2 linked regions of the Elephas maximus indicus genome follow. The protein of the gene in region 2 interacts with the protein of the main gene of each other region in a pairwise test. Links are inferred from orthologs where the notes say so. Each region holds a gene or a part of one and is shown on either strand. Other genes may lie near its edges. The genes, in order: SPA17 and MYL6B.

Region 1 (16,566 bases), on a different chromosome or scaffold from region 2:
GGCTCTTTCTCACAGTCTTGAAGGCTAGAAGTCTGAATTCAGGGCACCAACTCCCAGAGAATGCTTTCTCTCTGGCAGCTCTGGGGGAAGGTCCTTGTCTTCAATCTTCCCCTGGTCTAGAAGCTTCTCATCTCAGGGACCCTGGGTCCAAAGGATATGCTCATTCCTGGCTCTTCTTTTTTGGTGATAGGAGGTACCTCTCCTCTCTGCTCAATTCTCTCTTGTATATCTCAACAGAAATAGACTCAAGATACAACTAATTCTGTAGACTGAATTCTGCCTCATTAACATCATAGAGGTTAGGGTTTACAACACGTAGGAAAATTATGTCAGATCACATAATGGAAGACAACCACACAATACTGGGAATCATGGCATAGCCAAGTTGACACACATTTTTTGGGGACACAATTCAATCCACAATTTTCTACCCTTTGGCCTCCTAAAATTCATGTCCTTGTCACATGTAAAACAAATTCACTCCATCATATTATCCTAGAAGTCTTATGTCAACTCCAAGTGCAAATTCCATCCTGGGGCAAAATTCCTGTTCATCTGTGATATTTAGAATACAAGTTATCTGCTTGCAAAGTAAAAATGGTGGAACAGGCACAGACCTTTTAGGCAATGGTCCTGCCCTCCAGACTCTGTGTGTTGGTCACACTCTCCAGATTCTGGGTGGAAGCCCTTTAGCCTTGGGCTTCAGCTCTGCCTTCCAGGCCCACTGGGGTGGCAACTCTGCTCCCTCACGTTTGGGCAGCCCCATTCTTCTAGTCCATCTGAGTGGTGACTCCACCCCCTTGTCCTGCAGACCCCATTCTTCTGCCCCTTGGGCATGGCAGCTCTGCCTTCTTGGCTTTGGGCAGCAGACCTGGCCCATGCCTGTGGCACTCATGAAAGTAGCCCCACACTCTGGAATCAAGTTGGTGAAGATCTTACTCTTTGAAAGCTAGCAGGCTGTGGGCCCACCCTTTGAAACCCCAAAGGCCATGGCTCTACCCTTGGAAACCCAAGAGGTTGTGGCCCTACCGTTTGAGACTGAGGCAGCTCTGCTTCCTGTGTTCCTTGTCTCTTCAGCATCTGCTTCATGGTTCCTTGGCCTCTTGTCCCTTCAGGCCTCACCACTCGTGTCTGTCCTACTGGGACAAATGTTCCAAAGCTCTGTAGCTCCACTGAAAAACGCCTGGAGGAACCCCACTCTGCTAGTACACTTCGGCCAGAAGGCACTCAGCATTCTTGCTCTGTGGTTTGACAAGTTTACTTCCACTGTTAAGTGCCTGAAGACACCCCACTGTGGCACGGAGCCTCCTGCACAAAGACACTCAGCTCTCTTGCTCTCTGGGTAGGCTCCCGTGATGTCTTGTGCTGGTCTTCTGGTTCTGCTGCTGCTATTTCTCTGCTGCTGCTTCTCACTGTCTTCACCATCTTCAGTGTTACAGCTCTCCTCACTTCTTCAGACTCCTCACCAGAGTTGTCTTTGATGACCATAATTCCACCAACAGTCTCTTCAAAGCAAACCAGGCTTTTACTATTAGTCACTTTAAAACTCTTCAAGCCTCTAACCATTCACAGTTTCAAAACTGCTTCCACAGTGTAGGTATCTGTTAGAGCAGCACCCCACTCTTGGTACCAAATTATGTCTTAGTTATCTAGTGCTGCTATACTAGAAATACCACAAATGGATGGCTTTAACAAACAGATTTATTCTCCCATAATCTAAGAGGCTAGAAGTCCAAATTCAGGGTGCCAGCTCCCAGAAAATGCTTTCTCTGTCAGTTCTGGGGGAAGATCCTTGTCATCAATCTTCCTCTGGTCTAGAAACTTCTCAGCACATGGACTCTGGGTCCAAAGGATGTGCTCACTTCTGACTCTTCTTTCTTAGTGGTAGGAGGTCCCCCTCCTCTCTTCTCAGTTCTCTTATATCTTAAAAAAAAAGGTTGATTCAGGATATAGCCTAATTCTGTGGATTGAATCCTGCCTCATTAACATAACTGCTCCTAATCCTGTCTCATTAACATCATAGAGGTTAGGATTTACAACACATAAGGAAATGACATCAGATCACATAATGGAGGACAACCACACTATACTGGGAATCATGGCCTAGCCAAGTGACACATTTTTGCAGGGCACAATTCAATCCGTAATACATGGTGTAAGGAGTTCCTGGGTAGTGCAAATGGTTACCCATTGGGTGGAAGGTTAAGCAAATGGTTAAGCGCTGGTCTACTAACTGAAAGGTTAGCTATTCAAACCCACCCTTAGATGCCTGAGAAGTAAGGCCTGGTGATATGCTTCCTTTCAGGGTCACAGCCTTGAAAACCCCATGGTGTGCAGTTCTACTCTGCACACATGGGGTTTCTGTGAGTTGGAATTGACTTCATGGCAACAACATGGTTTAAGGACTTGATCCAATTTATCTTTTTCTATTTTTATCCCAACATCATTTGTTAAAAAGTCCATTATTCCCTACTGATTTGACCTACTACTTATACTGTATACCAACACGTTTCCTGCCCCCCAAATCAGAGTTAAGCCTGGTCATCACTTATGAGGAATGCTGGCATGAGAATTCTTGTATTGTGTGGGAGATTGGGTTACAGGACCTTAATGATTTTTGTTCCCTTTTTGTAGAGATTAAATTCTGACGCTTTGTATTAGTTGGATAATTCCTGTCTGGTTGACATGGTGGAAATGGGTGTGGTACTTAAATTTTTTTCAAATAGTTTTACCCATTGTTTATTAGCTAGTATCCTGGGCCGTTAATCTGAATCACCAATTGCTTTAATCACCGTGATCCGGTAATAATGACTCGAATGTTTTTGTAATGGGATGTTTCTGAGTTCTAAAATTAAATACATGACTAATAACTTTTTATTGCATTAATTATAAAATTAATGTTATAATAACAAAATTAAATTAATGCTCATTACGATTTACCTCTTACCCCTAAAAATTTCTCCTAATGACTTCCCCCGATCAGAAAAAAGATAATTTATCAAAGTGTTTGCAGTGGCAGGCATTTAAGCTTCAAACTGTGCAATAAATATCCACACTGACTGAATATGGAAAAGACCAGCAACGTTCAGGAAACTGGCAGTGATTCTGAGCCCTGCTAGCAGAATGCAAAGGCTAGAGGTTAGAGCTGTGCAGTGTGTATGGGAGTTGTTTGAATTCAAGCCTCAAGCTAAGTTTCCTCCCTCTGTATAATGATTTTAAATGGAATGTTTATTTGCTCGTGGATATGTCTAGTCACCTTTACCACTCTGTTGGAACACTATCGTGAAAAGTAATGATGATGACAGGTTTTTCTTGACTAGAAGAGATGATAACATAAAGATTGTTCTAATCAAGAATAGGTTTTTTTGTATAAACTTATGGCCATAATAATTCCCATCCCGACACTGGGTCAGGTCCTGATAACCATGAACCTTCAAGGCAGGTGATTTAGAAATTTTATTTATGAACGTGAAGGAACTTTGTTTTTTCTCTTTCAACCAAAGAGTCACTTTAGCATGTATCTTAGACTCTGGGCAGGATGGGACCTTGAGAGTATAAAGGAAGAGTGTAAATTACCTTCCGATACTATGAAGTTCACTCAAAGCAGCTTGCCTTGAAAGCAGTTTGTCTGTGCACCTTTACTGTAGAACAGTTTCATACACCCCCAATGAATACCAATGTATCTTAATCTAAAGAGTGTAGAATTATTTTTTGCAAATCAACCTTTAAAGAAAACTGCAAACTCTCCTCCTAGGAAAGATAGACAGCCAACTGTCTGGGTGATGTAGGGAACAAACAAACAAACAAAAAAAAAACCAAACCCGGTGCCGTTGAGTCGATTCTGACTCATAGCGACCCTATAGGCCAGAGTAGAACTGCCCCATAGAGTTTCCAAGGAGCGCCTGGTGGATTCGAACTGCTGACCCTTTGGTTAGCAGCTGTAGCACTTAACCACTACGCCACCAGTCTGCTAAAAAATGGATGACTACGATCTTTTGCGGTCCCCTTCCACCCAGTATGTCCACGAGAAATATAGTGAAAAAGGTCTGGGTAATAAACTAGTAACCTTCCATAATGTGAAACCTATTTAAGACAACTTGTCAAAAAGGCACATGCTGTTTCAAATTCTGTTATTTGAAGTCAACTGCCTCAAAAAGATTTTCTGTGGAATGGGGATGGTCTTAATTACACCATAACCAAATGCTTAGTCTCTTATTGGAAAAAAAGATGCCTATTTTTAAAAAGCTTACTCTCTCTTTTCTCTAGAAGGTTCTCAAAATATGCTGCTGCAAAAGCTGGTATATTGTCCGGTTGCTCCCTCAGAATCTCGCGTGTCAGCCCTTCAAGAAGATTCCCAAATCCTTGTGGAATTCGGTAGTGGGTGTTGGAGAATGGAATCGACATCTCCTTGGAAGGAACTGCCTATCGTACCTAGAGATTCATTAAAGAGCACTGTCTTTAAATATGTATGATTTTATTTATGTAATCACAACTATGACAACAATTATTTCTGAGACCCAAATTTTGTAGACTTCAATTCTTTTTTTCCAACACGAGTTCATACATGTATTTTAAAAAGTTTTGACTTCTCCATTATTAATTAAAAACCTAAAAATCTATTGCCATTGAGTCGATTCCAACTCATAGTGACCCTATAGGACAGAGTAGAACTGCCCCCATAGAGTTTCCAAGGAGCGCCTGGTGGATTCAAACTGCCGACCTTTTGGTTAGCAGCTGTAGCTCTTAACCACTAGGCCACCAGGGTTTCCAAAATCCAACTCATGGTGACCCCATAGGATAGAGTAGAACTGCCTCATAGGGTTTTCAAGGAGCACCTGATGGATTTGAACTGCCAACCTTTTGGTTAGCAGCCATCCTCTTAACCAGTACACCACCGGGGTTTCCATTATTAATTAGAACATTACAAATACAGGCCCATTTATTAGGCTGAATACTTCTTTAGAAAATTAGGACAATCACAAATTTTTTCACTATAACGGTAAATATTTTTTCTCTCCATCCCTTTGTCTTTTGGTTCTTAGGAGGAGATGGTAATTTTTGCTATCTTACAGGAATTTAGAGAGAATCATGATTAAAAACCTAGCTTTGCTGAATTCATTATAAGTTGCTGAGAAGACCCTGTTTAGGAAATTAGGCAGGTGGTTATATCTACAACAAACAAACGAAACAAAAAACATTTTTAAAAAGTTGGAACTAGTCCTGGTTCTAGAAATTCCCCCAATTTGTTGAATGAAGACGTTTCACACTTAATCTTTTCTTTAGCTTCCATTCATGAAGCCTGACTTCTAAACAGCTGTTTACTCCAAAGTGGAGCAGTAGGCAAGGTCATGATTTTGAAAGCCTAGTTTCCAAAAAACCCTGGGGCAGTTCTACTCTGTCCTCTAGGGTTGCTATGAGTCCTAATCGACTCAAGGGCACTGGGCTTTTTTTTTGGTCTCCAAAGTTTTCAGGGCCTTTTATTTTTTGGGTTTGTCTTGACCAGGCCTTCTCTCCCTGTCTTGGAATATACGGGCTAGATTAAGGGTAATTGCCAAGCAGCCGGTTAGGCTACTATGAAAAGAACATGTAGGGATCTGGTCTGTTCATGAGATTGTCAATGCGGAATGAAAGCGGAGGCCGGATCCATGGAGTGTTTTTTCTTTCTTTTTTTTTGAGGGGCAGGAGATGAGGCATTGAATCAGTCTAGGACTGTGAAAAGAAGGGCTGGTCAGACCTGGGGAGTGTAGGGCGGACGGAAGGGAAGACCTGGTCTTGCCGGGGGCTGGATGTGGACGACCTGGGATTGCGGACTTGGGCAGAATAGGCTGCCTTGGCTAATCTGCACCAGTATTCCTGGCGTATGTCGGGGATCCTGAGAGAACACGAGACACGAAAGGAAAAGGCGAGGTCCTGGTTTTGGAGAGGAAGTGGGGAAGCCGCCTCACCTCTTCTTTCTCTCTGAGCTGGTGCCGATGGTTCCGGTTGTTTTTTCTCGTTGCTGGGTAACCGTTTTTTTCTTTTTCAACTACGGCGGCCGAGAGGGTGAGAGGCACCGCCTCGCCCTGAGGCCGCGGGCAGCTTCGCGGATTCAAGGGCACGCGAGGGGTGGAGTCACCTCCTCCACCCTGCTCCGCTCCGGCCCCGCCCCCACGGGCCGCGCCCCTAGCTAGCCCCCACTTCCGGAGTCCCGCGCGCTGGTGATACATCATGGTCGCACCAGGATTGGTGTTTGGGCTAATGATGCCTTTAATCTTGTGGGTCAGCAGAAGTGCAGGTGAGGCTTCCCGGCCGAACCCCTGCCCCTCAGCCTGCGCCGGCCCCGAGATCCAGCGTCCTCTGCAGGACCCCTACCGGTGCCCCCCTTCTCGGGATCGGGAAAGGAACCCGGGCCAGGAGCTGGGATCTCAGACCCAGACTTAGGGTCGGTGCTTCGGCCCTAACGCTTCCTGCACCATTGTGGGATGCCTTCTTTCTGACAGAGTGTGTCGAGGGCAGAGGGAGAATTGGGTTTGTCTGAGTGCGGAAGCTCAAATATACCCAGACTGAGGCCCTCAGGGTCTTTGAGCAGCTGCAGGGGAGCTGGGTGGGGAGGGGGTGCAGCTAGTTAGCTAGTTAGAAGCTAGTTAGATATTATTGGGAAACAGGTGACTGAGTTATCCAGACATTTCAGTGCTGCCCGCACAGTTGTGCCTTGGGGAGGTTTGCTTAAGGCTGGGTTCCTTGGGGGAATTAAATTTTACTAGTTTAAGTAGTGATTAGGGCTAAGAAACAACCCTCTCACTGGCTCAGAATATTTAAGGCTCTGCTGTGATTTCTGGTGCAGTTACAGATATCGGTGGTGGAATAATATGCGTGACTTTGGAGAGGAGGGTGACTGGCGTTGGGCTATTGTTTAGGTCAGATCCTGTCATTTGAATACATACCCCTGTCCTCACAATAGGCAGGCTGGGCAAGTGGGTTACATGCATGGAGAAACCAGAAGAGGGAATCTGTCTGCTAGCGTACAGTAATAATGATGGACCTATTTTTTTTTTTTTCAAAACCACCGCAAGAGTGGATCCCAAAGAAATGAAAGTTGAGCTGGGAGAATGGATTGCAGAAAAATGACTGCTGCTCTACCTAGAAACCCCCAGAAATACCCCAATTCAGACAGACTGAAGCTCAGTATGTGTTTTTTTCAGGGAGTGCAGACTAGCAACACTGCAGTGTTCGTTCCCTGATGCTTATCTCCCTGTGCCGTGACCTTTGGGGTCCATTATATGAGGTAGGGAGAAGATGAAAAGAGTAGGGACATATTTTATTAGTTTTTCTGTTAAAGGTTGTTAACATCAGTGTTTAATCTCTTTTGGGTCATATTGTTACATCATCTTCATTAACGTTGGCTGTATTTCTCATTCATTAATGCCTTATTTGGTTGCATCTACTGACATCTTTCCTTCAGTTGTTTTCCCTGCTCCCATTTTTATCACATAATATTTGATACATACAAAAGTATGTGTGACAATAAAACAACAAAATGAACATACCACCCAACTTAGGCACTAGGACATTGCCAGCATTATTGAGGCTCCCTGTATGTTCCCCTGCAAGCCTACCCACCAGCTCCTCACCAGAGGTAAGCACTGTCCTAATTGCGTAAGCCCACTTTTAATGATGATCTCTTTCGCCACAACACTAATCCTGTTTTTCTTCTCCAATCCCCAAATGAAAAAATCCGAGACCTAAAAAAAAAATTCAAATGTTAAACGTGTCTTGTGTTTGACAAAAGCAATTACTAGGTCTGCCCCCACTTTCCAGTCTTCTGTTTCTGTTCATTGCTCAATTCCTTGGTAATGTTCCACTGTATACAGTTGCTAGCTTGGAATTTGAGCTTTACAAGGACAGGGAGTATGACTTTTGTTTGATTTACCATCAATAGCTGGCAGAGTGGGAATCAGGTGGCTTGGTTTCTAGCTCTATCACTAACTGCCTATGTGATTTTAGACCAGTCGAATAAGTTTAATGTCTGTAAAACTGGTTCAGTGGTAGAATTCTCACCTTCCATGCAGGAGACCTGGGTTCAATGCCTGGTCAATGCACCTCCTGTGCAGCTACCGGCTGGAGGCTTACGTGTTGCTCTGATGCTGAATCGGTTTCAGTAGAGCTTCCAGATGAAGATGGACTAGGAAGAAAGGCCTGACAATCTACTCCTGAAAGTCAGTGAATGAAAAGCCTATGGATCACAACAACAATAATGTGTCTAGCACTGTATCTGCTACTTGTGAGCTTCTCAGTAGAATGTAAGATTCCTGCCGGCAAGGATTTTTGTCTTTTTTTTTTCATTCCCCCATCCTTTCTCATTGTTAAATCTCCAGTGCTTAAAATCATGTGTGGCATAAAGTCCGCATCAGTAAATATTTGTTGAATTAATTAACGAATGTGATAAAACCAAAACCAAACTTGTTGCCGTCAAGTGGATTCCGACTCGTAGAGACCCCATAGGACAAAGCAGAACTGCCCCACAGGGTTTCCAAGGAGTGGCTGGTAGATTCGAACTGCCGACTTTTTTGGTTAGCAGCCGACCTCTTAAGATATGATAGCTATTTTTAAAAAAAATGCTTAAGGTTCTTGGGTTTCAGTCTCTTGATCAGTAGGTAATGAAGATTATACCCTAGAGGGTGAAAGATCTGTGGCATCTCTAATATCCTTTATGCTAGAATGGAGGAATGCATAAAGAGGTTCAGGATGTGTCTGTTGGCTGTAACAGTGACTTGGAGAGGCGTTTCCCCCAGACTGTGGACCGCTGGCTGCACACGGCTAGAGCCCTTCCTTTGCGTGGACTCTAGGCTCATACAACTGCTAGCCAGTTTTCCTCACTCCTTTCCACCACTCTCACCCTACTTAGCCCTTATGCCTTTGGCTTTCGTTTTTTGTTCCATAGCACCTACCCAAGACGAGGCCCTCCCACACATGTGCCTCTCTGTTTCCCCCAGCACGCTGCCAACGCGCTTATGCAATCCTGTGTGTTGTAGTCTCTTCTTGGAGAGATTTGCTCGTGGTAGCTGTGCATCTCTAGCCCCGTAGGTCTTCTGGGTGATCTTTGATTGTCATGTAGGTTTCATTATGGAACTAGTTCATAAGAGAGAGCTGAAGATTTTTAGGGACTGGGCTGATATTCAAAGAGCAGGATAAATAGGCCACTGACTGAGTATGTGTAGGAGACTTCATTAGCTGTCTGCCTTGTTAAGTATAGCCTACGGGGCCGTCATCATTTGTAGCTTTCAGGGAGGAAAATGTCAACCTTGTTAATATGCTCTTTCCTGTCTGTTATTTTTATTTAAAACTCATTTAAAAAATATTCATTTTGTTAATTATTTTCTACTAAGGATTTTGTCTTCTTTTGTTCAGATATACGGGGATGTAATAGAAGGAACTTTATTTTTTTCCTTATTAAATTTTGATGAGGAACTCACTGAGATAATTTGGATCAGTGCTTGTTAATAATAAAATAATTCAGTATAGGCTAGATGTTAAAAATAGGAACGGTCTTATTAAAGCGAATTTTTATGCAGTCTTGCTAGTGAATCTCTAGAATAGAACCCACAGTGCTTCCTCTTGCTCTTTTTGTATAATTTTGCTTGTAAAACGGGCAAAGTTGGGACGAACAATCTTTGGTTGGGTTTTTTTGACTTATCTCTTTCTGACCTTATTTTTGTGTCTTGGTTCATCAGAATTTACCTTAGAGGGAAGCATACTTGTCACATTTGTAAGTGCTTATTTACAATTTTTAGTGCAGTACACTGGATTGTCAAAAAACCAGAACAAGGGGAATTATATGAGGGAAATTAACACTGGTAGGTTGGAGAGGGGGAGATAAAAAGTGGGAAAAGAAAGATCAGAGGTTGTATTGGAGAGAGGCATGCTTCTTTAGCCCCAGCCATTAGGAGTGGGAGTGGGAGTGGGAATGGAAAGTCAGGGAAGGAAGTGCTTTATTTTTCTTATAAACACCATCTGTGGCATGCGTAAAAGGAGCATTTTAGTGATTTGGGGGGAGAGAGCCAAGTATTTAGGGCCAAGCCTGAGAGGAAAGGAAGATCAAGAGCTCTGAAGGGAAGGGGGTTTGTGGTGCATGGGTTACCCTACATTCTTTGAGTTTTCATTATTGGTCATCTTGTACCATGATGCATATTGTTGGAACCTGTTCTTGTTATGTTGCTTCCCTAATTAGGAGGAATAAGATCTAGTTTTAGATGATTAAAAGGACTGAGTATATCCAGATTCTCTTGTATAAAGACTCTCTGCTCATTGCAGTTTCACCCAAATCAGTTGGTGATGAATTTCCTGATGACGCCCTTCTAAGTGTTTGCTACATTTTTTAGGTGTTGATTTTCGCTTTGCTTCATACATCGATAATTACATGGTACTGCAGAAGGAGCCTTCTGGGGCAGTGATCTGGGGCTATGGCATACCCGGAGCCACAGTGTCAGTGACTGTGTGCCAAGTCCACGAGACTATCATGAAGAAAGTGACCAGTGTGAAAGGTAAGGCAGCCTGGCCCCTGTTTAGCTATTGTCTTTGTCTGCCACCTACTGGATCATCAGAAAAATGAATGCTTATGCTTTGAGTGTTTACCATGTGATAGGCACTGAGGGTGGAGTCTCTGGATGGTGCAAACAGGTTAATACCCTCACTGTTAACTGAAAGGTTGAAGGCCTGAATCCACCTGGGGGTGCCTCAGAAGAAAGGCCTGGTGATCTACTGCTTCAGCCTTTGAAAACCTGGACAGTTCTACTTTGATACACATAAGGGCGCCGTGAGTTGGAATTGACTTGATGGCAACTGGTTAGGCACTGAAACAGAAAAATAAGACTAAGTCAGAGTCCCTGTCCTCACGCAGCTCATGGAATAGTGGTAGTAGGTGGACATTGGTGGTGCAATGGTAAAAGAGCTTGGCTGCTAACCAAAAGGTCGGCATTTAGAATCCACCGGTTGCTCCTTGGAAACTCTGTGGGGCAGTTGTACTCTATTCTCTAGGGTTGCTATGAGTCGTAATGGACTCTGTGGCAACGGGTTTGTTTTTTTATTTTTTGTTTTGGTTTATGACATATAGTGCAGTGTGATAAAAGCTATGATGAAAGTGTGTATAGGTTGTCATGGGATACCGAAGAAAACATCTAACTCGGATTGGGTGGTCATGAAAGGTTTTCACAGACGGTAACATTTGAGTGGAATCATTTATAAATAAGAGGCAATATGTAGAAGTGGTTGAACCTAGGCTATGGAGTTCATTGGATTGAGGTCCTGACTCTGTCACTCAGTGGCCATGTAACCTTGAAGATGTTATTTAATCTCTCTGTGCCATGGTTTGTTTGTAAAGTGGAAGTAATGATAATAGAATTATTGTGAGGATTAAATGAATTAACATATGTAAAGTACTCATAACAGTGCCTGGCACATGATAAGTATGGAATAAATATTGGCTGCTGTTATTACTGTTTAATCAGTCACTCAAATATTATATTGAGTGTTTACTATGCCATGTACTATGCTAGGTACAGGCAATACAATGATGAACAAAGAAGATATAATTTCTCCCCAGTGAAGCTCATGTGTTAGGGGAGGACATAGAAAAATAATAAGCAACAATAAGCAAAATGATAGGTGCCGCTATGGAGAAGTACAGGGTGCTCTGGGAGCACTTAGTGGGGATAATTAACTTAATCTAAGGCTTATCTTAAAAGATGAGTGGGGGAAGCAGATAGAGAGAATAGACTGGGCAAAGATAGGGAGGCATGAGCAAGCATGGGTCATTGGAGAAATGGCAAACAGGTTGGTTTGTTGGAACACAGGGCTGTGCGACTGGTGGTGGATGACAGATGATGTTGGAAAGGTAGGGAGACTTGTTTGTCCTTGCTAAGGAGTGTATCCTTTGTTCTGGATTGATGGATTTTAAGCAGCAAAGCAGTAAAATAGCACAATCAGATTTGTATTTAAAAAGATCGCTCTGGTAGCAGAACTCTGGATTGGAGACTGGTAAATCTAGAAGTGGACAGACTGATTGGCAGGCTGTTAAGCTATCAAGGTACAGGTTACGAGGACTTGACCCAAGATGGTGGCTGTGAGGATGTTCAAGAAAGAATGAGCAGCCTTGATGAGCAGGGAGGTTCTACAGAAGGATCTCTGTCTAGGGGAGACAAAGACGTTTGAGTTAGTGTATGGAGGAGGCAAAGCTAGATGTTACTGGTGCAGGAAAGCATGCTGGGGCTGGGTCAGGTGGAGACCAGATGCATCTACATAGCTGCAGCATCCTGAGGTGAGGGTGAGACAGGTGAGGAGGCTACTCTGGGAGGTGGTAGAGTTAGTGTTGGAATTCAAGGTTTGAGCAATGACTTGACTATACATATGTGATGGGGAATCTTGTGGAAATTTTGCTGGCCTCTGAAAACAAGGATTGCCTAGTTAGTTCAGTTGGTACACAGTACTGATATCCAACCCAAACCAAAACAAAACAAAAAACCCAAACCCATTGCCATCGAGTCAATTCCGACTCATAGTGACCCTATAGGATAGAGTAGAACTGCCTCATAGGGTTTCCAAGGAGCGCCTGGTGGATTTGAACTGCCAAGCTCTTGGTTAGCAGCTGAGCTCTTAACCACTGTGTCACCAGGGCTTCAATAAGTATCTAGGAGGCAGAAACTACAAATTACTGTAGAGGATGATATGGAAAATACATAAATTTATATAACATTTAATTAAAAAAAATGTTCGTTTGCATTGTTTTTAGTCTTCCTCTCCCCTCCGCTCTACCTCACTCCTATGGCTGTTCCAGGGCTACCGTTCGGGGTGGGCAGAGATGGGGCAGGAGGGTAAGTGGTGACGAGCAGAAATAAAAGGTAATAATTAAGGGATGAGCCTCCCTTTTCCTTTACAGTGATTGTGACTCTGCTCACTGATTTTGAGTTCAAGCCTATAAACATTTATTGAAGGCTTCTAATGTATAAAATCACAGAGCTAGAAACCCTGGGAAATACAAAGGACACAGATAATGCCAGTCCTTGCACATTTACCAGTTCAGGTTCAAGTAATACCCTGATTGCTTCATTGCAAAGTCATGGGTGATTTGAAGTAACCAGTAGTAGCTTGAGGGAATTAGGTGATTCGTGGACAGTTGATGGTAATTTCACAGGAAAAGGGGTTGGCGGGGTAGTTCTGTGTGTCAGGCTTTCCATGTTGGCGTGGTAGAGAAGAAAGACATTCTACAAACCTGCTTCAGTGAGTGTCTTGCTCTGTCCCACCTATCCCACCTGTGAAACAAAATGGATGACGGATTATTTGGAATAAAGGATGTAGACATGTAGGGAATTTCACAGGGTAGAAAAGAATGCCTCTCAAAGGAGACACTACAGGGGATGCTGAAGGGTTGATTTTTCCTTTGGATTTTGATGAGGACTCTGGGATTTTCGGCCAGACTACCTCAATTTGCCACCCTTTCTCCCTCTGTTAATATTTAATTTATTGCCTATAATCCCCTAGGTGCCCAGAACAAAGGGGGACTTATAGAGACTTTTGCCCAGCAGACTGACATTTGAGACATGGAAAAGTTAAAAGCCCAGGAATGAATGGGAATATGGGCAGGTATGGGTTCTGTTCAAACTGTGTTGCTAAGTGATGCATGATGGCCCTCTCAGACATAAGGGATAAAGTTGGGAGAATAGGATAGGTAATATATGTGGCAGTATGTGCCTGTAGGTAATAATATAAGGTATGTCTGTCTATGTTTGTCGTTATGCTTGATGTAAGTAGATAAAATTTCTCCAATTTAGAAAAATATAAAAAGCCTAAGAGTCCTTCTACCCCCCTTATTAGAGTGATGGCATGTATATTAGTTTTCTATGCTGTGTAACAAATTACCACAAACTTAGTGGCTTAAAACAACACCCATTTACTATCTCACAGTTCTCTAGGTCTGAAGTCTGGTGAAGGTTTAGGTGGGCTCTCTGCTCAGGGTATCACAGGGTTGGAATCAAGGTGTTGGGCAGGCTGTGTGCTCACCTGGAGGCTCGACTATGGAAGGGCCTGCTTCCAAGCTCCCTCAGATTGCTGGCAGAATGTGTTTCCTGTGGCTGTAGAATTCATGGTAGTGTCTTGGCTGCTTTACGTCTCTGACCTTTAGGCCCTCTTTTAAGGGCTTCACCTTAGTAGGTCAGGCCCACCCAGGGTAGTGTCCCTTTTGAATAACTCAAAGTCAGTGATTAGGGACTTTAATCACATCTGCAGAATTACTTTACCTTTACCATGTAACATAACCTAATCATAAGAGTGACATCCCATCCCCTTCGCCATTTTCTGTTGGTTAGACACAAGTTACAGGTTCTGCCTACACTCAAGGGGAGGGGATTATACAACCAAACCAAAACCAAACCATTTGCTGTCGAATCAGTGCCGACTCATGGCAACACCATGGGTTAGAATAGAACTGTGCTCCGTAGGGTTTTCAGTGGCTGATATCTCAGAAGTAGCTTGCCAGGCCTCTGTGTGGACTTGAACTTCCAGCCTTTTTGTTAGCAGCCAAGGATGGTAACTGTTTGCAACCACCCAGGGACTCTAGGATTATACAAGGGTGTGACTTACTGGGTGTCACCTTGAGGTGTTCGTGTCACAGCATGTTATGCTTTAAGTAACTTACAATGAGTGGCTTTATGGACAGAAAAATATTTAAGCCTTTATTTTTTGCGTTCATATTTGGTGATGGTGGAAATGAACTTTTAGGTTACAGAATAAATACAGGTTGGTAAGCGGCAGTTTGGGCAGTAAGGCCTTCTTTACCTCCAAGCCACTTCCAAAAACCACTGAACCAATTACAGGGTTCAGTGGAGAAGAAGTGAATAAGGCTGTTTCCTTCAGCTCTAAGACTTTCCTCTTAGGAAGGGAAAGGTCATAGAGAATTTTTCTTTTTCTCTTCTTGGCATCTGAGACTTTGGCACAATAACCTGAAAAATAATTAACATCTGATATGAATAGCAAAAAGAAAAAGTAAGAACATACTTTGTGTTTAATTGTGTCTGTAGACAGATTATTTTAATTTTTTTTGTTCTTTCCATTTTGAGGTGGGGGTTGGTTGGGGAGATGGAGAGAAGATGGACGGAGGTGGAGACTTCCTTACTTATGCCCTTGGTTGGACCATGCAGTGAAGAGGAACAGTAAGAAACAGGCCCCCATATATGCTGTTAGACACAGAAACACAAAGTCCTCGTCAGTTTGTGTGGCTCTTTTATCGGTATAAGCCAGGGCCGGGGTTCACGTTCTGCTGTTTACCTGTGGAGTGCCTGGTACACGGTGAGCACTCCACACAGGGGAATGATAGAGGGAGAAAATGAGCCTTCGTAGATGGTGAGGAACCAGAGATGTCAGTGTGATGAAAATGGGAATTTATAGAAACATGGGCCTGAATTGGTAAAAGATAGCAAGTGATTAAAAAACCAAAACCAAACCCATCGCTGTTGAGTTGATTCCAACTCACAGTGACCCTAAAGGACAGAGTAGAACTGGCCCCTACGGTTTCTAAGGAGCACTTGGTGGATTCAAACTGCTGACCTTTTAGTTAGCAGCCAAGCTTTTTACCACTGCACCACCAGGGCTCATTGTTAGTTGGCATAAAGTTGATTCCAACTCATATGCCAGTAACCCGATATGTTGCAGAATAGAACTGCTCCATAAGGTTTTCAAGGCTATGACCTTTTGGAAGTAGATTGCCAGGCCTTACTTCTGAGGTGCCTCTGGGTGGGTTTGAACTGCCAACCTTTTGGTTAGTAGTCCAGCATTTAACCATTTGTGCTGTCCAGGGACTCCAATTAGGACCTAGAAGGAACCAAAACAGCTGTTGCTCAGAAAACCTATCAGGATCAATAGAAAACCAGTGGATGGTGAACTTGTAATCCTTTGTGGTCGGTGACTAAATTTTATTTTTTGAACTCAACCTAAAGGACATGATGTAGTGTCTAAAAACTACAAATAGACTTCATTGGCCTATGGTGAGCTCCACTTCAACAACCAGTCCTGACCTGACAAGCCAAGGACTAGTAATCACTTATAAACATGGTGGTTTATGCCTCTGAGAAACAGTCTTCACAGGGATTACTCTCCTTTGTGTAGACTTCATAGGAGTAGACCTGCATTGTTTTAAACTAATCATTTCTGAGTGAATTTGGCAGTTAGTAACCTCTTTGTGGTGGATCAGGTTTCCCCTCCCTGTTTGACACTTCACTTAACTCCCGTTGTTGTGTCAGATTTCATTTTTCTTTTATCAAATGGGGGAGGAAAAAAAGGTAGAAATGAAAAGAACTTGAGGACTAGCACAGAAGGAAGTTCTCCAAGGTCATCCATGAAGTTGGAAGGAGATTTCTCTGGAGGGCAGTTCTTGGGGAATAAGACTCGGGTCTTAATGCCTACTTTCTTCAGACTCTTTAGGCCCTGGGGGGGAGCTCATCCTCTGGCAGTATTATGGTATTGCTATTTTTTGCCCAAATATTTCACCCTTCTTGTTGTCTTTTGGAGCCCTGGTGGTGCAGTGGTGAAGAGCTTGGCTGC
Region 2 (15,546 bases):
CATGCAGAAGCATGCCAGGAGAAGGTCAGATGGTAGTATAGGGTAAGGGCAGGGGCTAGAGAGCAAAGGTTGGGAAGAAAAACACTGGGAAGGTCAACTAGAGAAGGAGAGGCTGGGAGGAGCCGTACCCGCCCCACGGGCCCGTCACCCCGACAGGATATGCCTCACAAACGCTGCAGGAAGGAAGAGACATTAATGGTGAAGACAAGACACAGACATAGGGTGAAGGGGTCAGGTGGTGGGGGATTAGACATTCCATTTACTTTACTTCCCATTCCTTCCCCACCGTTCATACCACATCACCCCTTTCCTGTCATATTCTGACCTCCCACTCCTGGGCTGGGCTGGGCCCTGCCCCTTGCCTCCTGGCTCCTTTTGGAGCCCAAGTCCAGAGACAGGGAAAGCCCCACATGCTTGTCCTTGACCTGTCCCACATAGCTGCTTCCTCCACAAGAGCCCCAATTGGCCCCTTACCTTCATAGTTGATACAACCATTGCTGTCCTCATGCCCTGCCACCAGCATCTCTACTTCTTCTTCTGTCATCTTCTCACCTGCAGAGGGAAAGCAAGCAGTTTTGGAACTGGGTGACAGGTGTATCAGGATGGCACCTCAGCTCAAGTAGCAAGGGCACAGAGCCTTACCCAGTGTGACAAGGACATGCCGGATTTCAGCACCCATAACAGTGCCATTCCCTTCCTTGTCAAACACCCGAAGGCCTTCGACATAGTCTTCATATGTGCCCTGGTCCTTGTTCTTGGCCACAGTCTGCAGCATGGGCAGGAAGTGCTCAAAATCCAGCACCTTCACATTCATCTCTGCCGTAAAGTGGGTAGAAGGGGTGCAGTGTCAGGCCCGAGAAGTCACGTGAGTTCTCAGAACTGAGACTACAGGTGAACCAACAGCTCCCCCTCAAAGCAAGGGAGACCCATGAGATCTGCTAGTTGAGACAAGACTTGCTTCAGTTTGGGGGCCTATGATGATAAAGGGAAGCACTTAGCTGAAGAACGGTGAGTCCACCACCACACTGAGTTCTAAAGGGCTCTCACCATCACTTTTGGGGTTCCCCAGGACCTTGAGCACCTCGGCGTTGGTGGGGTTCTGGCCCAGGGCCCTCATCACGTCCCCACACTGGCTGTACAGGATCTTGCCATCACCCGTTCGGTCAAACAGCTGGAAGGCCTCCTTAAACTCTGAGGATTCAGATGAATATCAGCACTGGGGATGAAGGGGTTAACCCAAACCCTACCTCCAAGTTACACTGTACACATTCAACTTACATCTTTGTGATGAAACCAGATATCTGTACCACTGTACACCCTGCTAAGAGGGATCCAGTTTCCCTCTCCCCCAACTAAGGTGTCCCACATAGATACAGCCTTCCTCCCGGTTGGCAGTGGTAGTAGCATCCATTTACACATCCCTCTGCCAGTGGCGCCCAGCCCAACCTCCTCACCACTACGCTGTTCAGGGCAGGAATGTGCCACCGCCCCATCTGGGTCCTGTCCTTATAAGGAAGTGGAAGCAGCAGCCTGGGACTGGGGTCATCCCAGCCTGCCACTTCCCACCCTTCCTGTACAGAAATGGTAGACAAAGTTGGATCCTTAGCAAACTCCCCCTCATCTCCACGAAGTAGCAGGTCACTGCTCTTTACCACCATCACAATTCCCAGCTGGGGCAGAGGGGGAGTTACCACAGGAAGAGAGAAGAGGCAGAAGTAGCCGATTAAAGGAGCGCAGGCAGCTCAATACACCCCAAACCCCACACACAGCAGGCAAGCGTTTCACATACCCACACCACCTAAAACTCACCCAGTGCTTGGGGCTCAGATCTAGAGTGGAAGGGGAAGGAGGAAGAAAGAGTGAGAAAAGAAAATGGAGGATCGAGAAGGGGAGCCAGGAATACTGTCCTGGGGGGTGCTGAAGAGATGACATGTCGGGGGTTAGAAGGCAGGTGTTGGAGGGGTGTCCCTCTCCTTAAAGGTGACCTCAATAAGGGCCAGAGATTGCTTACCTGCGGTCTGGTCCTCAGTGAAGTCACACTGCTCAGAGAAGGGGGGGAGCGGTCAGCATCTGAACTCCAATCCCCCAGCTTCTATCCCACAAACCAGCACAAACTCCTGTTCCTCGCTGAGGACGCGCTTCCTAGCAGGATCCCACTCTCCGACCCCCCTCCTACCGTCCAGGCCCTCTGGTTCCCTTTGCCCCCTACTTCCTGCCCTCCCTCCCTCGCCCTCTACCCGGGCTTCCCGCCTTTCGCCCCAAATCCCGCTCATTCTCCCAGGCCCTGTGTCCCACCATCTTGGCCGCTCAGGTTTCGGGACCTTTTCCTGCAGTAATGGCTCCGACTCCAGGCCCAACCCTAGTCTTAGTACGTCCCCTGACGTCATCCTCAGAGCCCCCAGCCAATAGGAACCCGGCCTGGGTTTACGCAAGGACATTGCTACATTAGCAATAAGGTGGGCGGGACCCGCGGCTGAACCTTCCCCCAGAGTCGACCCACCTGGGACTCAGGAACCGCAGGAGTTGGGTGGGTCACAACGGATCTGCTCTTCCGAGCAGCGAAAAAGCAGAGGGAATCAGATTTGGAGAGAAGAGAGAGAGCCCTCATTTCCTTCCCGCCCCTACCTCTGAAGAAAACAACAGTCAGGCCGAGGGAGGAACCGTTTCTTTATTTTAAAACAATAGGTGGCCTCCTAGTGGCCGGAACGTGCTTCCGCCTGCGGAGGCGGGGCGGGGGGCAGTGTCCGGCCCCACGGGATCTGTGGAAAAAGATGAAAGTTGCCAGGCCCTGGCACTCGTGCAGAAACAGGACAGGAAAATGCAGTCCCCTGCTGTTGGGCTGTGGCTGAGGAAAGGGAAGTAGACTCGCCTCTCAAGGATGGAGGGTGCCCCCTACCTGTAGCGCTCAGACGCTTAGGATGTGCTTCAGGAAGGCTGCAGAGAGGGAGCAAGAGGGGCTTCAGAAACAGGCCCTTAGATACTCCAACTGACCTTAGATAATCCAGGTCCCAGCGTACCCCACCCACCCACATACATGGCAAGAGGCCCGCTCCCTTCCCCCTTGTCCCTTCTGGGACTCTGACCCCTCACCCTCATAGTTGATGCAGCCATTGATGTCCTCGTGTCCTGCCAGAATAGCCTCCACCTCCTCTTCAGTCAGCTTCTCTCCTGAACCCCAGACATAGCGTTTTAGCCCCGCCCTCACCAACCAGGCCTTACTCTTCTAGGTGGTACCGCCTCTTCTTCAACCTGGGAGACTTAGTCAACGCAACTGATCCCCCAAGGGAATCCTCTCCGTGTAATGGTTATGCCTTGCCTGTGTTACTGCATCTTGCTTTCCATTTCACCTCATTAACGAAGCCTCTTGGTATTGGTGAAAGCTTTGACATATGGGGAAACTGAATTGCAGCGGGCTAAGAGACTTGTACAGATCATAGAGCACAAGCATCTCTACCAAAATGGAAACTCATGTTTACCCTCTCGTCCCCTTTCCTCTGCCCTTTGTGTCCCCTCTCACTTGAGCCTCTGCAGGAGGAAGTCCTTCAGATTTCTGCTCTGCTCTACCTTCTAGTCTCCAGCAGGTGACCTGAAGGACAGTAACCCCCTCCCTGGCTCTGCCAACCTGGCCAAACTTCTTCCTCTCTACCCCACAGGAATTCTGGCCCCTGCCTTACCCAGGGTGGTGAGGACCTGTCTGAGCTCTGCTCCCATGACTTTGCCATTCCCCTCCTTGTCCAACACCCGAAGCCCCTCCAAATAGTCCTGGTAAGAAGAGCCTTGGTCCCGTTTCTTGGCCGCTGTCTGGAGCATGGGCAGGAAAGTCTCAAAGTCTACACGCCGGGACTTCAGCTCTGGAGGTTAGAAAGAGGTGAGGGAGAGGTCACTGTGGTGTCATCCAGGACCCAGCTCCCATCCCTACCACAAAGGTTTCCATTCTGTTCAACATCCCAGGATGTTTTTCTGCCCCTGTGTTTGATGGTTTTTGTAGCCTTGAGACGCATCTGAGCATCCTTTGTGTCCTACCAACATTCCTGGGTCCCACCACCAAACTGAAAGCCCACATTGTTCCAAGGGTCCCCTCACCATCACTTTTGGGGTTTCCCAGGATCCTGAGCACCTCGGCGTTGGTGGGGTTGTGGCCCAGGGCCCTTATCACGTCCCCACACTGGCTGTACAGGATCTTACCATCACCAACTCGGTCAAACAGCTCGAAGGCCTCCTTGAACTCTGAGGTTATAGGGAAGAGTTAATGTCGACCAGGGGTTCCCACCATTCCCAGGCAGAAGGGAGGATCAGAAACTATGGGTTAGCACTGGGCAGAAAAAAGGGACACAAAGAGAACTAGTGTGAGGGGCTTCAAGGTCAGGACTGGAGTTGGGGAAAGAGAAAGAGGATCCAAATAGGGGCTTGGGACTGGGTAGTGGGCTTAGGGGACCAGCTTCTCCTCACCCTCCAGCTGGTCCTTGTTAAACTCGATCTGTGGAAGAAAAGAGCAGGTGAGGAGGAATGACAGAGGTTACTAAATCCCTCTCCAGCACTCCTCCCAACCAACTGGCAGCCACTTCTAAGGAGGGGCCCAAAGGGACCAGTCCGGGAGCCCAGCCACCTCAGTCCCATTCCCAGCTCTGGGCCTTGGGAGAATCCCAAGAGGAGGAATTATAGGGGGGAGGGTTTCCTGGGAACAGGGTTAATCCCATGCCACCTGTTCCCCTCCCTCCACTGCCCTGAGCCCTGCATCCTTCACATAACTGGGGGCTGAACAAAGGCTAAATTTACCCCTGGCCCCCAGCTGTGATTGTCTAACAAGCCTGTCCTCTTCAGCCTCCCCTCCTGGGGTTGAGCTTTGGCTTTTGGGTTGAACAGCCAGCCAGGGGCAGGCAGCATCTCCTTCCCTTCACCTTGAAAAAACCATCCTCAGACCCAGATGTTCCCCATCTCACAGTTCCTGACTCCAGCAGGAGAGTCAGCAGGTGTGTGTATGTGCGCACAGGTGTGTGTGTTTGTACACACACATGTTATATGTTAGAGGGAAAAACAGCACAGACAACAGCAGAGTCCTACGCCTGGATGCTTCCAAACAGGGAACTAAGGGGAACTGCCAAACTCATCCCAGTGCTCATCAATTCTCTACCTTCTAGACACCTTCTAAGCCCCTAGGCTGTATCCCACCCTTGTGCCACCCTCTTCAAATTCTACCCTCACTTTCTGGGTACTCACCACCACTTTGGAGAGATCGATGGGGGGCTCCTGGGGTTTTTCAGGGGCCGGGGAGGCAGCTGGCTCAGCCTTGGCCTTGGCTGGAGGGGCCTCTGATGCTGGCTTGGCAGCAGGCTTTGGGGGAGAAGGCCCTGCTGGTTTCTTCACGGGAACATCCTTCTTGGGAGGCATGATGTCCGGTAGCCAAAGGACAGTATGCCGATGGGGGCACCCATCTCTGTTTAAATAGCCAGGGAGGCTAGGATGTCAAGGGGCGGGGGCAGGGGCAGGGAGCCAGTTGGCAGTGTGGAGGGTGAGGTAGAGGAGAAACGCCTGTCTGCCCTTGCTCCCCTGGCTTCCTGTGGTTCAGGACTCCTCCTGCCCCAAGGTCTTCCCCCTCTGCCCACCCCTTCCCAAATGCTGGCTGGAATAATGTCCCCATTGGGGGCAGGCTGAGGAAGCCAGAGACTGCTCATGATGGGGGAGTTAACGTCCGGGGTGAGGATAGGATGCTTGCCAGTGCCATTGAGATAGAGGTGAGGCAAAGAAGGAGATCCACGCGTTCCAGCCCCCTGACTCAGGGTAGCCCTTTTTTCTAGCAGCTTTAGACTCTTGAAGGCTGAAGCAGGGAGGGGGCCTTATTAAAGTTGGGTCTGGGGGCAGCGAAAGGTGAAAAACAGGCAACACTTCCACCTCCTCTGACCATGGGTGAGGAGCAAGGGTAGTTGACCCCACAACCTAATCCTCAGCAACTGTAGTTCCTGGCCACCTGCCCAGCCCAGAACTGGACTGTGCACAATATAGAAAAAGAATAGCAACGGAAGGGGAGAGTGGCACCCCTCCCCCACTGTCTCCTGTGCGGTGTAGTTCCAGGGGTCGGGAAATAGGTCAGGTTTAACACCCACCACCCATTCTCAAGCCCATGGTCATTCACATCAGACAAAGGATGGGGTGCTTACCAAACCTGCAGGGACCGTGGGTGGCATCTGAAGGGGAGGCAAAGAGCCTAAATTCTCTAATCAGAAATCCTATGGGCTCCATGAGTACTCACCCCCAAAGAAGGGGGTAATAAAAACCCTGACTCGAGCGCCAGGTCTCAAGTCTTGCTGGGGGCGCTAGGAAAGGCCATTAGGGGAGAGGTGCAGACTTTTTTTGTTCTGGGGGGTAAAGAAGGGGAGGATTTAGGTAGCATTCTGGGAAAGATAGCAGTGATTCCACTTAGAGCCTAGGGTTCAGAGTGTTGATACTGGGGGTCAGTCTCCTACTCGCAAAAATGCGTCTGAATCTCACAACTGCGTCTGAATCTCATAACCGCAGATTGTCCCATAAGAAAATCAGGAATCATTCTCCTCAGGGAGTACACCCGAAACAGATATACATACACACATACACACATATGCACCATGCACAGAGAGATCGCGCCTTAAGTTAAGAATCCCGAACCAGCCCCCGAAAACTCACCCTGCGGGATCTCTGTAAGGGGAGGGGGCGGGGCGCTATGCAGCTTCGGCCCCTGAAGGGTTAATTCCGGCGGCCTCGGAGCACGCCGGGAGCTGTAGTCCCCGAGCGGACGCGGGCTCTCGGGAAATGCTCTCCGACTCCAGGAGGAAGCTAAAGCGGTGGCTTCCGGCTGTGGCGGTGGTTCGTAAGTCGGGTTTGTTGAGCGCGCTTTTTGTCCCGGAACTGAAAGGCAAGGAGCAATTTAAAACCCCCACCCCGACCCTAAAACCCTGTGGGGCCCCTTAGGATATCCCCCTTACTTAGCCCTGGTGAGTTTCCATTTAATGTGGGCCGAGATCTTTTCTGAGTCTATTATTGTTAGGTGCAGTGCAGTCGGTTCAGACTTAAAGCGACGCAGCGTACTACAGAATGAAACACTGCCCGGTCTTGCACCACCTTTAAAATCATAACTACGTTTAAACCCATGGTTGAAGCCACTGTGTCAGTCCATCTTGTTGAGGGTCTTCCTCTTTTTCGATGACTTTATCAAGCGTGATGTCTTTTCCAGGGATTGCTCCTTCCTGACAGCATGTCCAAAGTAAGTGAGACAAGTCTTGCCATCCTGGCTTCTAAGAAATGCGGAAATTATCAGACAGTGTCAATATTACACACAGGTAAAATTTTGCTGAAAATTCAAAAACAGTTGCAGCAGTACATTGACAGGGAACTTCAAGCCAGTTCAGAAGAGGACATGGAAGGAAGGATAGCATTGCTGATGTCAGATGGATCTTGGCTGAAAGCAGAGAATACCAGAAAGATGTTTACCTGTGTTTTATTGACTACGCAAACGCATCTGACTGTGTGGATCATAACAAATTATGGATAACATTGCATGGGAATTCCAGAACACTTAATTGTGCTCATGCGGAACCTGTACTACGTAGACCAAGAGGCAGTAAAAGTAACATAGTAAGGGGGAGCTTCATGGTGTAAAATCAGGAAAGGTGTGCATCAGGGTTGTATCCTTTTACCATGTTTATTCAATCTGTATGCTGAGCAAATAATCTGAGAAACCAGATGATACTAGGATTGGAGGAAGACTGATTAACAACCTGTGATATGGAGATGACACGACCTTGCTTTGCTAAAGGTGAAGAAGTCTTGAAGCACTTTCTGGGTCCATTGGTGACAAAATCCAGAAGGGTGGGGTGGGGTGGGGGGCGGTGCTGAAGCTGCAGCAGGCAGGATGGAGGTCAAATATCAGGAAGCACTGCGGCAGGGAGAGTGGCTGTGATCTCTTCAGCTTCCTCTCTGGTTTGGTGGAAAGAAAACAGGCCATTGAGTTGCTGGGTGACTTGAAGCAGTTACTCACAAAATTCTATGATTTCTCTTTTTTAAATGAGCTGGCTGCTGAAGTAGATGTTCAGATTTGGAATAAAGCCCAGCCAGCTGCCCCAGAGGTTGTCCAGTCTCTATACGTGGAGACTTCTCCACCCTGTGGCTGCCTACGCTACCTGCCTGGTCTCTAGAGGCCTCCATGGAACAGAGGGCAGGAACCTCCAGCCCCTCACTTTTAGACACCTCTGCCCAGCATTGGAGTTTATTTCCTCAGACATTCATCATGGGTCTCCTCTGTGCTGGGTGAGGGAGAGAACCAGCCTGGCCAGGGCCCACCTTTACTTGCTGGGTCAATAAATGCCCTGAAGGCACTCCTTTATTAACGTCCATTAGTTTTGCCCAACATAGGAGGTAAGTAGTATTTTCCTCACTTTACATCCACGAAGGATCAGTAGGTGTGTAGAAATGGAGAGGAGAACATTTCACTTAAGTGTTTGGTTACAAGACTCTTGGGGGAAGGGCCATACCACAGATGCCTTTTTGTATCTGTCATCCCTTCCAGAAAAGTTCATTTCTAAGATGTGGTTTATCTGGAGGCCTGGGCTACATAAGAGTGCACGGAGAATCAGGGTAAAAAGCCCACGCAAAGTTGGGGTGGCAAGGCACAAATGAACGTTATGGGCAGTGAAGTTCACTGGTTGGAGAAAGCTTCCTGGAAGAGTAGAAATGGATTATATAGGAGAAATGAAAAATAATAACGGTGATGAGGATAATGATGATAATAGCTGTCATTCCTCAATGCCTCCACCTATGAGGTACTGCATGAAGAGGCTAAATTATCTCAGAGAGACAGCATAAGGGGTGCTAAAGTGTATGGGCTCAGACCACCTTGCTCACATTTGAATCCTGGTTCTGCCACATGCTTGCTGATAACCTCTGGCAAGTTTGTTATCACTCTGTGCCTCAGTTTCCCCATATGTAAAATAATAATCATTATCTACCTCATAGGGCTGTTGGGAGGATTAGATGTATTAATATTTGTAAAATAGAATGGGCCTGGCACAGAGTAAGTGCTATATAAGTGTTCGTTAAGTAAAATTAATGTCATTTCATTTTTCCCAATATAGGAGGTAGGTAGTATTTTCCTTATTTTACATTGACAAAGGATCAGTAGGTGTGAAAGATGGAGAAGAGTACATTTCTCTGACGGGTTTGGTTACAAGATTCTTGGGGGAAGGGCCATACTACAGATGCCTTTTTGTACCTGTCATCCCTTCCAGAAAATTTGTTTCTAAGATGTGGTTTATCTGATTTATTTTTCTCCTTCTCTTCTCCCCTAGCTAGAGTCCACTTTTGACAGTTTGCTAAGTATGAGCGATTTTGACATCAGCTGACTTTTTAGCATTTCTTTTTTGTCTGCTTTATAGAGAAGTAATGTGAGAAGAAAAGAGAAAATGCTTGGCAAAAACAGTTTGAAGGACTATTCTTCATTTTCTGTGCCATCCCTGTCTTTCAATCATAAACAAGAACTGGACTGAACACAGTCTTAACTGGGGATAGGTGATTTATACATCTTGTATGTGGATTCTCCATGACAAATACCAGTTCTTTCTCCCCACCTAGCATGACTTGTGGCTTTTCAGGGATTGCATATTTATTCTAATATTAATCTACAACATAAAATAAATTAGAAGGGGCACATCTCTAAAGGAAAAAGAAAAATGAAACATTAAAAACCTAGTAGAACAACTTTTGGAATTAAATGCAGCAACTTTTTTTTTTTTTAACCCTTCAATAACTTGAATAATTGTGGGTTCACCCTAGACAGCTTAATTGGCTCTTTAAACACTAGCTAATGTGTTAATACGGATAATAGTTTAGGTAGAGAGGATACTGTTTCCGAAATAAATAGGAAAGAATTTGTTGGGAAAAGTGTCTTCAGTCCACTTTGGCATTTTGAACAAAAAGTAGCCCAATCGATAAAGAACAATGATGAATCCATGAAACATTACACGACATGGAGAAGTCTGGAAGACATGCTGAGTGAAATTAGCCAATTGCAAAAGGACAAATATTGTATAAAACCACTATTATACGAGCTGAAGAAATAGTTTAAACAGAAGAATATATTCTTTGATGGTTGGGTGGGGGAGGGAGGGAGGAAGGGAGAGGGGTTATCACTAATTAGACAGTAGATAAGTTTTATTTTAGGTGAAGGGAAAGACAACACAATACAGGAGAGGCCAATACAACTAGACTAAACCAAAAGCAAAGCAGTTTCCTGAATAAACTGAATCCTTCCAAGTCCAGCGAAGCAGGGGCGGGGGTTTGGGGACCATGGTTTCAGAGAACATCTAAGTCAATTGGCATAATAAAATCTATTAAGAAAACATTCTGCATCCCACTTTGGAGAGTGGTGTCTGGGGTCTTAAACACTAGAAAGCATTCATCTAAGATGCATCAATTGGTCTTAACCCACCTGGAGCAAGAAAGAATAAAGAACACCAAAAACACAAAGTAACTATGAGCCTAAGAGAAAGAAAGGACCACATAAACCAGAGACTATATCAGCCTGAGACCAGAAGAACTAGATGGTGCCCAGCCACAACCGATGACCGCCCTGACAGGCAACATAACGGAGAACCCCTGAGGGAGCAGGAGAGCAGTGGGATGCAGACCTCAAATTCTCCTAAAAAGACCAGGCTTAATGGTCAGACCGGGACTAGAAGGATCACTTAGGTCATGGTCCCCAGACCTTTTGTTAGCCCAAGACAGGAACCATTCCTGGGGCCAGCTCTTCAGACAGGGATTAGACTGGAATATGGGATGGAAAACATTACTGGTGAAGAACGGGCTTCTTGGATCAAGTAGATACATGAGATTGTGTTGGCATCTCCTGTCTGGAGGGGAGATGAGAGGGCAGAGGGGGCCAAAAGCTGCCCGAATGGACACGAGGAGAGAGAGTGGAGGGAGGGAGTGTGCTGCTGTCTCATTAGGGGAGAGCAATTAGGGGTGTTTAGCAAGGTGTACATAAATTTTTGTATGAGAGACTAACTTGATTTGTAAACTTTCACTTAAAAAAAGCACAATAAAAATTAATTAAAAAAAAAAAGTAGCCCATAAAACAAAACCCATTGCCATCAAGTTGATTCAGACTCATAGCAAGTCTATAGGACAGAGAAAAATGCCCCATAGGGTTTCCAAGGAGCAGCTGGTGGATTTGAACTGCTGACCTTTTGGTTAGCAGCCAAGCTTTTAACCACTGTGCTATCAGGGCTCCATGGTAACCCATAGTGGAGAGAAAGAGGAAGATAATGAGGATGTTTTATGATACATGGGTAGCTTATAAAGTCCAAGCCCCATTTTTATAGATTCATACTACGTGCAAGATATAAACAGAATAATAAATGTTGTGGTAAGTAGTGTAGTTTCATTTTGGTAATGTTCTGAAACAGTGGTTCTCAGACTTAAGTGTTCTCCACAGTCTCCTGGGAGCTTTGTAAGCAGATAGACTTCCAGATACTTCCCCCACAGATCTGACTCCAGGTCTTTGTTAGGGCCTGGGAATCTGTTTGAAGTATTTTTTGTCCACTACAAAACAAGAGAATAATGTACCAAACAGGTAACCACCAGCTTTAATAAATGAAATGATCTTTTCAAAATATGCATCTGGTCATGTCATTCCCTACTTAAAATCCTTCCGTGCCTTTTGATAAGGATTAAATCTTTACAGTGGTCAAAAAAATGACCACAATTTCAAACACTGCTTGCTTTGCTTCCTTTATAGCAGCCACACCTACCAGCTTTCAGATCCTCAGCGGTGTCCTGTGTCCTCTCTGCTCAGGCTGTTGCTGTCTTTTATACCCTCCCTACCCCCACTGTATTCTCAGGGCCAAGCAGAGCACAGTGCCTGGCATTTAGGAGACACTTAAATATTTGTAGAATGAATGGATATCTGGGCGAAAGGGAAGAGTCAAGGGTGAGCACTGATACTAGGAAGTTGACAGGGAAATATGTTGGGGATTCAAGGGATTGAGAGAGTCCCCATGTATTGATTGGACTCTTATTTGCACCCTGAAGTAGAAGGTGAGGTGATCTGATTTGCTAAGAGAGGAAGTAAGAGGAGATAGCTGGAGAAAGCAGTGAAGATTTGAAATAGGTGCTGTGAAAAGATAGGAGACAACTGACAAGTACTCATTTCACAAATGTTTTCTGAGTGCCTGCTCTGAGCTCAGCACATGAACTTGGTGAGCAGCACAGAAGGTGGTCATGAATTTGTAACAGCACAATCTATAAGGCATTGATTTCTTTCTCCTTTTAGCATTTCTCAGCTGCTTGGATGGTGGAGCCAGAGGAAAGAGACAGCTAGAATGATGCTGGGTTGGAGTTTTGTGCAATAGGGATGATGGATGAACACCAGAGTGTTTAGGGTAAAATCACCATGAAGTTATAGTAAAGCAAGAAGGAAAATTTTATTTGGCATATACTCCAAGAGGCAAAAGTGAATAAGGGACAAGCATGCTGCCAGAGCCATGTCTGTCAGAGTCCTAGGAATGTTACAAGATTGTCAGTATATATTGGCATTACAAATGAGTAAAATCATTAAAAGCTTTACCTTTTTACTGACTGGCTAAAAACTGGTAAATGACCATGATTCTACATTTTGAATTGTCTTTCTTAATAATCATTGTTACAAATATCAGTAAGGACAGTCAGGAGGGTCTTCATTGGTCCAACAAATCTTGCTATTTACTAAATGCTGGTAGAAAAAGAGTGGAAAGTATGCTGATCTTTTGTTTATGTGAAAGTTTCCCTAAAAGGTGTTTTCCAAGATTGTCCAAGCTATTGTCTTTATACTTCAGGGCCCAGATGATGTGTCCTTGCGAGTCCAGCTCCAGCTCCAGCTGAGTCATATTCTTTATACTCAAGGACAAGGAATAGTGGCTCCAATTTTAATGCCTAAGTCAAGAGTGAGGTAACTGAGAGCCTGGGTAAAAGGGGGGCTGTGGTCCAGGCCAAAAAGAGGAGTGAATATAGAGGAGGGGCTATTGGATTGAGAGAATATGGGAAGTCATTAAGGGGCTGAATTCTTACTGAGGTTGAAAAAGTGATACAGTTGGAAATCTCAGAGTTGTAGTGGGAAAAAATAGTGCATTTGAGATTTTAAAATTTCAAAGAATACAGAGGAAGACAGCATCTAGGATGAGTGGCCATGGGAGTGGATAGTTTAAAGGGTAGTGGAGGTGGAGATGGAGATCTTTGGATTTGTGGGGAAAGTCCTTAAGTATTCTTTCAACTGCAGATATCAAAAATCTGATTAAAACTGGCTAAACAATAAAATTTGATAAAGGGGATTTATGGGCTTATGTAGTTAAAGACAAGAGGTAGAGTGGGCTTTAAGTTCAGTTTGATCCAGAGGTTCATGATATAACAAAGGGACCCTTTCTCTGTAATTCTCTTGCTATTGCCCTCCTTCATGTGTTATCTTCTTCCTTGGCACCCTTCCTGTAGCCAGACATGGCTTGGCGGCTACAGTTCCAGGTATCATATCCTCACACCACAAGAGGAAGAGAGGGAGCTTTCCTTGACCATTGGAATCAATTCCTGGACTTCACTCTGACTGGATCAACTTAGGTGATATGGTTATCCACACTTGAACAAATCATTCTGTCCAGGGAAAATTTTACTTGGATCCACAATCAACACCCATGGAAGCAGCAGTCAAGGAATCAGAAGACGTATTGCATTGGGCAAATCAGCTGCAAGAGATCTCTTTAAGGTATTAAAAAGTAAGGATGTCACCTTAAGGACTAAGGTGCGCCTGACCCAAGCTGTGGTGTTTTCAATTGCCTCATATGCATGCGAACGCTGGGCAATAAATAAGGAAGACCAAAAGAAGAATTAATATCTTTGAATTGTGGTGTTGGCAAAGAATATTGAATATACAATGGACTGCCAAAAGAACAAACAAATCTGTCTTGGAAAAAGTGCAACCAGAATGCTTCTTAGAAGCAAGAATGGTGAGACTATGTCTCACATACTTTGGAGATGTTATCAGAAGGGACCAGTCCCTAGATAAGGACATCATTCTTGGTAAAGTAGAGGGTCAGCAAAAAAGAGCAAGACCCTCAACGAGATGGATTGACACAGTGGCTGTACCAGTGGGCTCAAGCACAGCAATGATTTTGAGGATGGTGGGGGACCGGGCAGTGTTTCATTCTGTTGTATACAGGGTCGCTTTAAGTCAAAACCAACTTGATGGCACCTAACAACAACAATTGGCTTAGGCATAAGTTATTATGCAAGGAGGATGTTGTTACTCCGATTCACTCAGGCCAGTCGGGGCCCATTCCTGTCACTGAGGGTGGGATGGTTCAGTCCAGTTGGGGAGAGGTAGAAAGAATGCTAGGAAAGAAACCAGCAATGTCCACTACAATGAGAAACTATGATGCTAGTTATTGAATGGGCTACCACAGTATACACTGAAGACACCAGAATGATAGCAGGATTTAGGGTACCAGAGCCTTTAGTAAAAATTGAGGCATGACCAAAAGTATTTAGTGGATGACAGGAGAGAAGGCAGGGACAGGATATCAAATTGGTATCATCTCCAAAGGAGCTGAGACTTTTCCTGAAGGTGGAAGAATAATAGTGGGGAAGCAGCATTGAGGAGCAAGGACAATGCAGACCTCACCTTCCAGTCTGAAATATATGGGGTTTAGGAGAGGAGCAGTCTCCCCTGGAGGGTGCTACATGTGAAAGAGGTCTCTTGGGAGGTAAGCCAGATTTCAGAGGAGGCCAGAGTGAGCTTTGTGTTTTAAAGCAATTCACTGCACTGTGAGATTATATGAATTTTGTACACTTTCACCAGCATTACGTGAAAATGTGTTTCTCATACTCTCTCCAAACCTAGATACTATTTTAATAATAAAAAAATCTTGCTAACTGATGGACAAAAAATTTTGCCTATGTTGTTACAGATTTTCCTGCCTTTTTCCTCGCTGTCAGACTATCTACCAACTGTCATTTCTTACTGGTGTATATTGTTGTCAGTAAACCTCTCTCCAGCAGCAGTCCCACCACCTGTCAATTTTCTTTTCTAATCTTGGGCTTTGCTGGACCATAAATAATGAAGACCAAAGAAGGATTGACGCCTTTGAATTACGGTGTTGGCGGAGAATATTGAATATACCGTGGACTGCCAGAACACCAAATAAATCTATCTTAGAAGTATAGCCAGAATGCTCCTTGGAGGCAAGGATGGCACGAATACATCTCACATATTTGGACATGTTATCAGGAGAGACCAGTCCCTGGAGAAGGACATCATGCTTGATAAAGTAGAGGATCAGGGAAAGAGACGAAGACCCTCAGTGAGATAGACTAACACAGTGGCTGCAACAATGGACTCAAGCATAACAATGATTGTGAGGATGGTGCGGGACCAGGCAGTGTTTTGTTCTTGACAGCACTTAACACCAGCAACAACAACAATCTTAGGCTGGACTTCAGATAATATTCATGAAGCAGTGAGCTCAGTAGATTCTACTGAAAATACACAGGTAAGACTGC

The links.
Region 1: the proteins of MYL6B (region 2) and SPA17 interact in binary tests that used the Homo sapiens proteins (3 or more experiments, as listed by UniProt). The two-hybrid records come from large-scale screens. The link is inferred for Elephas maximus indicus from reciprocal best matches to the Homo sapiens genes MYL6B and SPA17.

What each region holds. Positions count from the first base shown.
Region 1 is NC_064835.1:26,902,257-26,918,822, reverse strand, and holds the start of SPA17 (sperm surface protein Sp17), read right to left. Parts: upstream 5,993-16,566; 5' UTR 5,946-5,992; intron 4,432-5,945; 5' UTR 4,405-4,431; coding exon 4,251-4,404; intron 1-4,250. Other genes in the region: SIAE (sialate O-acetylesterase), read left to right, coding at 6,208-6,274, 10,359-10,520. UniProt on the Homo sapiens protein: Sperm surface zona pellucida binding protein. Helps to bind spermatozoa to the zona pellucida with high affinity. Might function in binding zona pellucida and carbohydrates.
Region 2 is NC_064822.1:116,125,592-116,141,137, reverse strand, and holds MYL6B (myosin light chain 6B), read right to left. Parts: upstream 6,728-15,546; 5' UTR 6,658-6,727; intron 5,455-6,657; exon of another isoform or gene 5,435-5,454; 5' UTR 5,389-5,434; coding exon 5,218-5,388; intron 4,478-5,217; coding exon 4,450-4,477; intron 4,228-4,449; coding exon 4,084-4,227; intron 3,852-4,083; coding exon 3,675-3,851; intron 3,169-3,674; coding exon 3,091-3,168; intron 2,935-3,090; coding exon 2,906-2,934; 3' UTR 2,897-2,905; intron 2,760-2,896; 3' UTR 2,655-2,759; downstream 1-2,654. Other genes in the region: MYL6 (myosin light polypeptide 6), read right to left, coding at 145-173, 475-552, 643-816, 1,048-1,191, 2,012-2,039, 2,296-2,298. UniProt on the Homo sapiens protein: Regulatory light chain of myosin. Does not bind calcium.